Linked DNA regions of Macaca mulatta. The protein of the gene in region 1 interacts with the protein of each later gene in a biochemical or structural test. Links are inferred from orthologs where the notes say so. Each region holds a gene or a part of one and is shown on either strand. Other genes may lie near its edges.

Region 1 (3,518 bases):
AACCAATTCCTTTTCTACACCTTGGTGGCTATGCCTTTTAATCCTTTACCTACCACATCCTCTTAAAATTTGATCCCATGACTGTCTACGCAGCTCAATGCGCATTTATACAGACCTATGTACTTGAAGCATCCTTTCATAGTTACCCTCCCACCACTCCCACCTTTTAAAATTCCTTCTTCCTGGTGTTCCGGTAATTCTCCCATTCTCTTACCTCACACATCACCCACAAACCAGTATTTTTAAAGTTAACTTAAGAGTTAAATCTACATATGTAAAATACTTCCATCTCCCAACAACTTTTTTGTCTTGCTGTTCCCCCAGCGGGAGGACAGTGGCACTCAGATCACAGCAACCTCCGCTTAATTGGTTCAAGGGATTCTCCTTCACCCTCCCATGTAGCTGGAATCACAGACACTCACACCTGCCTTTTTGTATTTGCAGTAGACATAGGGTTTCACCACATTGGCCAATCTGGTCTTGAAGCCGGCTTTTATTTGCACCCACCTTCTACAGTTCGTACTATATTAAGGTCAACCCCTTCACTGACATTTCACTGTTACCACAGCAACATTTGTAAACTGAAAACCTTGATCCCCTTCACCCAGTCTAATGCAAAATAACCTTAACTTTTAAAAAACCACACCAGTTGGGAATGCAACAACTTTATTGAAAGAAAAGTGCAATGAAATTTGTTGAAACCTTAAAAGGGGAAACTTAGACACCCCCCCTCAAGCGCAGGACCAAGTGCAGAGTGGACTCTTTCTGGATGTTGTAGTCAGACAGGGTGCGTCCATCTTCCAGCTGTTTCCCAGCAAAGATCAACCTCTGCTGGTCAGGAGGGATGCCTTCCTTGTCCTGGATCTTTGCCTTGACATTCTCAATGGTGTCGCTGGGCTCCACCTCAAGGGTGATGGTCTTGCCAGTGAGGGTCTTCACGAAGATCTGCATCCCACCTCTGAGGCGGAGCACCAGGTGCAGGGTGGACTCTTTCTGGATGTTGTAGTCAGACAGGGTGCGCCCATCTTCCAGCTGTTTCCCAGCAAAGATCAACCTCTGCTGGTCAGGAGGGATGCCTTCCTTGTCCTGGATCTTTGCCTTGACATTCTCAATGGTGTCGCTGGGCTCCACCTCAAGGGTGATGGTCTTGCCAGTGAGGGTCTTCACGAAGATCTGCATCCCACCTCTGAGGCGGAGCACCAGGTGCAGGGTGGACTCTTTCTGGATGTTGTAGTCAGACAGGGTGCGTCCATCTTCCAGCTGTTTCCCAGCAAAGATCAACCTCTGCTGGTCAGGAGGGATGCCTTCCTTATCCTGGATCTTTGCCTTGACATTCTCAATGGTGTCGCTGGGCTCCACCTCGAGGGTGATGGTCTTGCCAGTCAGGGTCTTCACGAAGATCTGCATCCCACCTCTGAGACGGAGCACGAGGTGCAGGGTGGACTCTTTCTGGATGTTGTAGTCAGACAGGGTGCGCCCATCTTCCAGCTGCTTTCCAGCAAAGATCAACCTCTGCTGGTCAGGAGGGATGCCCTCCTTGTCCTGGATCTTTGCCTTGACATTTTCAATAGTGTCACTGGGCTCCACCTCGAGGGTGATGGTCTTGCCAGTCAGGGTCTTCACGAAGATCTGCATCCCACCTCTGAGACGGAGCACGAGGTGCAGGGTGGACTCTTTCTGGATGTTGTAGTCAGACAGGGTGCGCCCATCTTCCAGCTGCTTTCCAGCAAAGATCAACCTCTGCTGGTCAGGAGGGATGCCCTCCTTGTCCTGGATCTTTGCCTTGACATTTTCAATAGTGTCACTGGGCTCCACCTCAAGGGTGATGGTCTTGCCAGTGAGGGTCTTCACGAAGATCTGCATCCCACCTCTGAGACGGAGCACCAGGTGCAGGGTGGACTCTTTCTGGATGTTGTAGTCAGACAGGGTGCGCCCATCTTCCAGCTGCTTTCCGGCAAAGATCAACCTCTGCTGGTCAGGAGGAATGCCTTCCTTGTCCTGGATCTTTGCCTTGACATTCTCGATGGTGTCACTGGGCTCCACCTCGAGGGTGATGGTCTTGCCAGTGAGGGTCTTCACGAAGATCTGCATCCCACCTCTGAGGCGGAGCACCAGGTGCAGGGTAGACTCTTTCTGGATGTTGTAGTCAGACAGGGTGCGTCCATCTTCCAGCTGTTTCCCGGCAAAGATCAACCTCTGCTGGTCAGGAGGGATGCCTTCCTTGTCTTGGATCTTTGCTTTGACGTTCTCGATGGTGTCACTGGGCTCGACCTCGAGGGTGATGGTCTTGCCAGTCAGGGTCTTCACGAAGATCTGCATCCCACCTCTGAGGCGGAGCACGAGGTGCAGGGTGGACTCTTTCTGGATGTTGTAGTCAGACAGGGTGCGCCCATCTTCCAGCTGCTTTCCGGCAAAGATCAGCCTCTGCTGGTCGGGAGGAATGCCTTCCTTATCTTGGATCTTTGCCTTGACATTCTCAATGGTGTCACTGGGCTCAACCTCAAGGGTGATGGTCTTGCCAGTCAGGGTCTTCACGAAGATCTGCATTGTCTAACAAAAGAGCCAAAAACCACCACCATTTAGCAGACAATGTACTAATCTTCCTAATACTTAAACTATATGTTATATTCACCCAAATGATTACAATTTAAAAGATACCTAAGAAACTTCACAAAATACACTCGCCAACCCCGAACGCATAGTTTAAAACTCAGACTTCAGCTACTTAAGAAAATAGGAACATAGAACTGACCAAAGAAACTGACGCCTCACTTATCCCTCCCCTCACCAGAGGTCAGGCCCCTGTCGACTCAGGAGGGCCTACCCTAGGCCCCAACCCTGCGTCCTGCGACGAAGAAAAGCCTACTGCACACCTACCGGCAGGTGGCCCCACCCCACATTATGAGCCAACAGAACGGATGACGTCACGACACTGCGAGGGCGCGCGCTCCTCAAGCTACGGGTGCACTGCCAAGTGGCACCGCCATTAACTGCCGCCCCCGCAACAGACGACAAAGCGAGTTCTCCGGTCAGTGACAGACTTCACATCAAGGTCCCCAAATGGTGCCCCAGCCCACCTCACCAGAATAAGAGCGTTCCCGCATTAGCGAAAACCTCAAGGCCTTGGGTTCTTGCCGCAAACCATGCCCCCCACCTTGTTTCAACAACCTCACAGCCCGCCTCACAACCGTCTTCCATTCAAGAGCCGGGAACAGCCGCCATTTTGCTGCGCTCCCCTCCCACCCGCTGCTCAGGGGCACCTTGCTCGCGGACCCAGACTACAGCCCTCGGCGGCCTCTCATCCCGCGGCGTCGGCCCCCCTCCATCCCACCGAGCGGCCCAGCGGCCACGAAAGCCATGGCCGGCCCAGCAGCCCTCTGCTCACCAAGTGGCGATGACACCGACACACAAACAAGAACTGCGATCCCACTCCCGGCTGCGACGGAACTAGCTGCGCCACACCCGGCGCGTCCTTATATAGTCATCGGCGTTCACCGCCCCAAGGAAATTCCTCCGCA
Region 2 (3,749 bases), on another chromosome or scaffold:
TTGTCTCTTTATAATAAATGTTATATTATATAAATCAGTCAGTGAATTTCTGATTCTGCTTCAGATTAAGACTGAAGACAAATAATTTTGAAGACGTGCAAATGTATACAAGCGTTAAGTGATAAATAATTGTATCAAATGAGTTACTTTAATGTTATGACATACTCATTGGTTATGACATAGTGAAAGAAAAAATGGTTAGTGTATTTTATACACTGTATTCTATATACTATTTAAAAATAATATAGGAGTCTACTGGAATCTGCGCAAGGATTATGTATTGGGAATCTCTGAGGGGTCTTCTCAGATAAACCTTTTGGAATATTTCAATACACGGACTGTGAGAAGAGAATTGGTCCAATACCAAAACTTGAGCAACTTTTAAAAGTAAGCTTTTCTGGAGCAAAACAATGTTGCTACATTGAAGAAGTGTACTATCTGGCAGGCTCAACTGACACATTCTCAACTCAACAAACGTTTATTAAACACCTTCTATGTAGCAACCACTCATTAAGTAGGAAAATACAGTACATATCTTTAATGCTAAGTAATTTGGTAAAGACAAAAATGCTAAAATAAGTTAGAGGATTTTGTAAGAAGGTGGAAATTAAGAGTGGACTAGTGCAGTGGTTCTCAACTAGGAGGTATTTTGTCCCTCCAGGGGGCATGTAGCAATGTCCTGAGACTTCTAAAATCATGACTGGGGGCTGGGTGTCACTGGCATCTAGTGGATAAAGGCCAGGGATAAGGCTGAACACCCTACATTGCACAGGACAAACCCCTATGACAAAGATATTTATCTGGTCCAAACTGTCAATAACGTTGCTACTGAGAAACCCTTTGCTACAGCAATCAGGAAACGATTCAGGTATAACAAGTTGGATTCTGAGTTGGCCTTAACACATAAGGATATGTTGAAAGAGAAAAGAAAGCGTAAGCACAGGGCAAAAGCATAAAAGCAAGAAGGTGACTGTGTTTGAACTGGGTGGTACAGGTACTAGGAACAGGTTTGACATTAAGAAATTTACCTGAATCCAATGCAAATACGTGTTCACAAAGTCAGTAGAATACAAAGGTGATTGGGTAGTTGCTAGCTAAATTATACAGGACCAAGAAAACTAGACAAAGGTACTGTAAACAGAAGAAACAAGTACTAAGAAGCTGTTTTAAGTACTTCCCCTAGAGATTCATGTACTGAGATGTAAAACTGCTTGAGAGCAGCAACTAGGCCTTGCTCATCACCGTATCTCTTATGTCACTGAGCCACTGTGTCCTGTAGTGTGTGCTAACTGCTTATTAAGTTAAATGCAATTTTCCAATTCATTAAGTATAATCGGTGATCTCCAAGGTTCTGTCCACTGCTAAGATTCAGGACACTCATTTAAGCTGGAAAAAAAAAGGTAGCATCTAGTAAGTGCCTATCACATAAAGGTACTGTAGCAGGCCCTCTACACATATCATTTAACCGCAGAATGGAATGATGTATTTTCCCCTCTTTGAAGACAAGAACACTGGAACTCAAAGAATGTAACTTGCCTATGATTTCACTGTGAGCTGAGAAGTGGCAGAGGTAAGGATGAACCTTTTTTCTAGTCTTATATAAACCTCCAAGTTTCAGTGACATGCTCTAAGGAAGAGTTAAAAAAGCAAAATTCAACATCCATCTTTCATAATTAAAATACACACAGACGTATAAATTAACTTCATAAGGTGGTCCTTATTCACAGTAATCATTACATTCTGCCATAAGGGATTTGGAAATGGTATTTGGCTTTCATTCCGCACTTGTGTGCCAAGGTAGTTCCTACGTGCGTTCATATTAAACCAAAATTCTCTCCCCGGAAACTCAAATTCCCATAATTATTATCTTCAAGCCGGAAAAAAATAAAATAAAATAAAAAATAAACAAAAAGCAAACCTATTGAACTGACATAATCAGTACCTAAAACCAGTGATTCAGAAAACAACAAAAATGTAGCACTTCAAACTCTTTCCAGATTCAACAACTTCTTCCACACTTCTTTACACTTTTTTAAGGGCAGAGACCTAGCCTAAGAGAGACATCCCGAAGGCGCAGGTCCTCAATTCGGTTTCAGCTATTGCCAAGTATTTCATCTTCATCGCTCGCAACATTTTTGAGTCTAACCTTAACCAGAGCTCCCTCCTTCAGTTACCGTTGCAAAAAGATTTTAAAATCCTCTAAGGAACCTTACCTAAAACATTCTGCCAGTTCCAGACGCTCAACATTTATTTGTCTAGGCAAGCACTTTTGGTATAGGGTTTACCATCCTAATCTAGCCGACATACGCCTTAAGCCCTTCGCTGTTCGTCCAGAAGCACAGTCCCTGCACCAGATGCTACACCAGCTGCTCCTCCCAGGCCCTTTACACCAACCCCTTCAGCAGTTCTTTGGCAACCTACAGTCCTAGCTCAAGGCCCATTTCACAGGATGAGTCCCATTTCTTTCAAGAGGATGCGCCAAGTCCTCAACCTCCTCCCAGCTCTGAAGGAGGGAACCTCAGGAAACGGGAAGAGCGAGCTCTTCCTCGGCCCTGGTCCGAGGGTCCTGAATGCAGCAAGGGGCTGGCAGAGTGAGCGTGCAGTCCGGTGAGGAATGGGCAGGGAGCAGCAAAAACACTTACCAACATCCTGATCGAAGGGATTGGTGGCAAAGAGAGGCATCTCCACTGCGTGCCGAGGTGTCCGCGGGGACTCCCCCCTCGACAGCACGGGAGTCAGGGCTCGACGTAGGAAGGAAGACTCCTCAGGCAAAAACAGCAACAGAGACTGACTCTACAGGGTCCGCGACAGCTCCTCCCTCTCACCCAACCCCAGCAACCACCCCAGCAGCGGCGGTGGCGGCGGCAACAGCACTGAGCCGAGAAAGCCCCCGCGCGGAGCTTGTCGGGAATCTGGGCGACCTCGGCACTGCCTGTCCCAAAGGTGCCCCGAGCCTGCCCCATCAGTAAAGGCTGAACAGGTAGTCCCCTCTGCCTGACTCCTCTTTTAATTAGTCACACAGAAGAGTGGGATTAGTTCTTGTGTTTCCTGCTTTTCCCTTAGCTAGGAGTCTCCGGAAGACGGGGTCCTTCAGGCGTGCTGAAGCCTACTAACAACCCCCGGAGTGACTGGGAGACCCAGGAGAAAGAAAACAGGTTGAGTTTGGGTAGAGGCGTGCCCCTTTTTTCCTCTCGCTCTCTCGGTTATCATAACCTTGTATTCCTTCTGGAAGGAAATGCAAATTCTTTTGGATCATATTCTAGGTAAACAGTTTAATTCGCTGCGTGAGGTGACAAATTTGCTCGGATGAAGTCATGGGAGCTGAACGGATTGACCTGAATCCCAAGAGGGGAGTGTTCAGGGCGCGAGGCTCCCTCGGAGAGGCTGAGGTAACGCTGACTCCTTCCCGGGAGTCCCTGAACGCCGGGCTTCGGAATCTGCAGACAGCTCTGCTAGTAGGGCGTTGGCACCTACTGACTAACCGTGCAGTCACTCAGCAGCTGTGATGGTTGGTGACATGTCTTTCACAGCCCAAGATAGCCTCCCTAGACTGAGCAAAAAAAGAAAACAAAAAAACTGCAGCTAGAAGTTGATCAGTGAGTGATTCCTAGCAACCCAAAATGTTGATTTAATTATTTTACTTTTGAGTTTAATTAACCAATAAAAATTATTCTCTGTGTCATGGAGAAGTTTTAAGGAGGATCCACTAGAGATTTTGCATACCACTTGGAACAAACTTAGTAAGCTCA
Region 3 (3,749 bases), on another chromosome or scaffold:
GTAATCCCAGCACTTTGGGAGGCTGAGGCGGGTGGATCACCTGAGGTCAAGAGTTCAAGACCAGCCTGGCCAACATGGTGAAACCTCGTCTCTACTAGAAATACAAAAATTAGCTGGGTGTGGTGGCAGGTGCCTATAATCCCGGGTACTTGGGAGGCTGAGGCAGGAGAATCACTTGAATTTAGGGGGCAGAGGTTGCAGTGAGCTGAGATCATGCCATTGTACTCCAGCCTAGGCAACAGAGCAGAAACTCCGTCTCAAAAAATAATAACAATAATTACAAGTTCTGAGAAATGATATAAAGCAAGATACATGGAATGATAAGACTTAAGATTAAGACTTGGGGTAGAGGACAGATAACATCAAGAAGGCTTCTCTGAGAAGATATCACTTAAGTTGAAAACTGCAGAAGGAGATGACTGGTAGATGGTGGTGCTGGAACAATTCAGGCAAACAGCATCCCTAAAGGCCTTGAATTGTAAAATAACTTGATGTGACTAGGGAAATTAAAATCAATGTGGCTAGAGTTTAGTGAAGGAGAGGAGGAAGGTAAAGTTAGTGAAGCAGGCAAGAACTAGGTTATGCAGTCTTGTGAACCACAGTAAGGATTCCGAATTTTATCCTAAATGTAACAAGCACTTAGCAGGGGGAAATCCACCAAAAGGTTTTAAGCAAATAAATACGTTACTACTGAATGGATAAGTCATATATGGTTGGTTTGGGTTTTGGGAAAGTGACTAAGAGCAAGAACAGAAGAAAATAAGGGAACCAAATAGAAGAGTATTGAAGTTGATCAGCTTATAACAATTACAATAACAATTAATGCTTACTGGCCATTTACTCTGTGCCAAGTGCTTATCATGGTTATCTCATTTAATCCTCATAACAATCCAATAGGCTGAAAATTACTATTTCCATTTTACAGATGATAATACCGGAAGCCAAGGCAATCAAGTCCAGGTGAAAAAGGACTGTGGCTTAAACTAGAAGAGTGATAGTGAAAATGTACAGAAAAAGATGCAAGACATATATTGGAAGTAGAATAGATAGAACTTGGAAAGTAGAAGTCAAGAATGCCTCCCAAGTGTGTAGCCTGTGTCATATGCCACTTAATAAAATGGGACACTGGAGAAAAAAGAATTTGGATACGGAGAGAAAGATCAAGGCTTTGGATTTGTCTGTGTTGCATCTGAAACTCCTAAGAAAAAAATCAAGTTGAGATGTCAAGCAGACAGCTGGCTATCTAGATGTGGAGCTGAAAACAAAGGGAATAGGCTGGAAATAACAATTTTTAAGGCATCAATATATAGATCAAATTTAAAGCTTAGGGAGGAATACAAGAGTAAAAGAAGAGGACGCAGGACTGAACCCAAATATTCATTTTACTTCATCAAACATCTTTAAAACAAGCGATTACTTTTATATCACTGGGTTTTTCAGTCCTCCTTCCATTTTACCTTTCAGCAGAATGCAACACTACTGATGACTTCTTTCATGGTTTGCAAGACGCATCCTCCTCTATCGGTTATTAAACATCAGGAATCCCTCAATGCTCCATCCTAGGCGCCTTTATTTTATAGCACTATACTCTTTTTAGGCAATTTCATCCACATCCATGGCTTCAATTACTATCAATATGGCAGATGACATACACATAAACAGACCGCACACATTTACGTATCCAGCCCAGAACTCTCCTAAGATCTCCAACCCACTATATCCAACTGCCTGCTTGACATTACCTCTCAGATATCTCTTCCAGTTAGACACTTGTCAGGAATTGCCACCTCAATAAAGGAATTTATACAGAGCTGAAATTTTGAGAGGACTACCCCAAAACCACTTTAGGACAACTCTCCAGGACACAAGACTTTGTCATCAATCATCATTTCCTTTCATGGATCATGACTTAAAATAGTTACATCTAACTACCTGATCTGGCGGCCAGAAATGGGAGCAAGGAAATGCACAACAAAAATACAATTTATGTTTTGCAGTGAGGACTGGTCAAGAGGAAGGTGAAAATGGTCAAGAGAGTGAATGAGTATCATGTCCAAGACCTGATGGATGTGCCGTAACGAAAGTCACCTGAAGAGACAGCAGGCCCTGTTAGAAGGTAAGTGGCGGACAACAGCCCCAGAGAAAAGGGGGCAGGTTTGAGTTTCGGAGGGAGAGAGTGGCAGTGGAGACCAAGTCAAACGAGAGGGGAAAGCCGGGGCAATGCACCCAAAGGTAGTACCTGTGAGGCTGGGGGTGCGTCGAGGGGTTGTGGGCGGGCTCAGTAGCAGCAGGGCGAACTCCAGAAGAGTGAACGCCGAGTGGGCGGATCGCACAGAGGGAGGGGGTGCTAGGGAAAACGGCTCAATTGAGAAGCTACCCCGGCCCGCCTTACCTGCGCCGAAGGTCCGGAGCCCCCAGACAGACCCGCGGAAAGCACGGAGCCCGCGCGGAGAAGGAGGAGCCGGGGGTAATGGAAGTAGGGATACCAAACCCAAAGGAGGGAGGCCGCTAGCTACCCCTAGTCAGGGAGAGCGGCTGATGGCGGGAACTGTGACCACACGCAAACACGCACGCACGCACGCACATTCTACGCGACCAGACAGGCGCGTGCGCGCCAGCCAAAAACTCCGCCCCTCACACGCCCTCGCCCCGCCCCCCAGCACCTAGAGCGGCCTAGCCCGGGCAGCCCCGCCCCAGCCGTGACTGTAGTACGCACGCGCACTTTCCGCTTCACCCGATTTCGAACCCCCCCCAACCATTTCCCTCCTACACAGCCCAGTCGGGCATGCGCAATAGTTGTCTTCCCGGGACTGTCCATCCTTTCCCGCCGTTCACTGGCCTTTGGAGGAGGGTCAGAGTTCATGCCGCTCTCTGGAAAAATCTGCTGAAAGCCAGGAGTTGCGGGGACTAGTGGTCGTGGACGTCCTTCCGATCCTAAATCTTAAGGGGCAAAGGCCATACTCTGGGACTGTTAACTAGGCCGAGGGCCTGGAGGCGGGAAGAGGATGTGTGGGTGGGGTCAGGGGTGAGAGGTCAGAGGGCCGCGAAGGGGGCGGAGCGAGCCGGAGGCGGATGGCGGCTACGGCGGCTCATTATTTTCCGCGGCAGGGGTGCTGAAGCGGGGACGCGGGTCAGACGCGTCCGGCTGTGGAAGGAGAGCGGCGGCCGCTCACAACATGCACAGCCTGGCGACGGCTGCGGTGAGTGGCTGGGTCCCCAGGCCTGGAACCAGAATCCTTCCTCAGACCCACGTTTCGGCCTTCTCTCCTAGTTCCCGGTGTCGGGTCCCTAGTCTGATTTTTTCTGTACTCAACCTACGAGGCCCCGATTCCCCTCCTCGGCACGCTTTGGTTGTGGTGGAGCCGGCCTGTATTTCCTCGCCGGACGCATCTCGCGGCCTCCAGCGCGACCCATCGCGTTCTTTGCGGGCGCCAGGGCCTGGTCCCGCGCCCGTAGCAGGCCATTCATTGATTTTTTGAGCTGACCAACAGTTTCAGGGCGCCAGTTGTGTTCTGGGCGCCGGCGTCGATGAGGGGAATTCCATGGTCAATCTGACGCGGCTCGCGCTCTCAGAACTCACCGCGTCGCAGCGGGAAGGAAATGGCTTCTAGTTCAAACCACTTGCTTTACTTATGGAAAACCTGAGGCCCGAAGAAGTGCGTAATTTTTGCATCTGACTTAGGTTCTCTGCGTTTAAAACTTTCCTCGACACATCTCGTTTTACCCGCGTGATTTTTTAACGGAAAAGA

The links.
Region 2: the proteins of UBC (region 1) and STAM form a complex in vitro, tested with the Homo sapiens proteins (13 studies listed by BioGRID and IntAct, with this or other methods). The link is inferred for Macaca mulatta from reciprocal best matches to the Homo sapiens genes UBC and STAM.
Region 3: the proteins of UBC (region 1) and USP37 form a complex in vitro, tested with the Homo sapiens proteins (6 studies listed by BioGRID, with this or other methods). The link is inferred for Macaca mulatta from reciprocal best matches to the Homo sapiens genes UBC and USP37.

What each region holds. Positions count from the first base shown.
Region 1 is NC_133416.1:132,361,862-132,365,379, forward strand, and holds UBC (polyubiquitin-C), read right to left. Parts: upstream 2,548-3,518; coding exon 718-2,547; 3' UTR 650-717; downstream 1-649.
Region 2 is NC_133414.1:19,215,204-19,218,952, reverse strand, and holds the start of STAM (signal transducing adapter molecule 1), read right to left. Parts: upstream 2,790-3,749; 5' UTR 2,683-2,789; coding exon 2,643-2,682; intron 1-2,642. UniProt on the Homo sapiens protein: Involved in intracellular signal transduction mediated by cytokines and growth factors. Upon IL-2 and GM-CSL stimulation, it plays a role in signaling leading to DNA synthesis and MYC induction. May also play a role in T-cell development.
Region 3 is NC_133417.1:123,803,851-123,807,599, forward strand, and holds the start of USP37 (ubiquitin carboxyl-terminal hydrolase 37), read right to left. Parts: upstream 2,553-3,749; 5' UTR 2,240-2,552; intron 1-2,239. Other genes in the region: CNOT9 (CCR4-NOT transcription complex subunit 9), read left to right, coding at 3,177-3,200. UniProt on the Homo sapiens protein: Deubiquitinase that plays a role in different processes including cell cycle regulation, DNA replication or DNA damage response.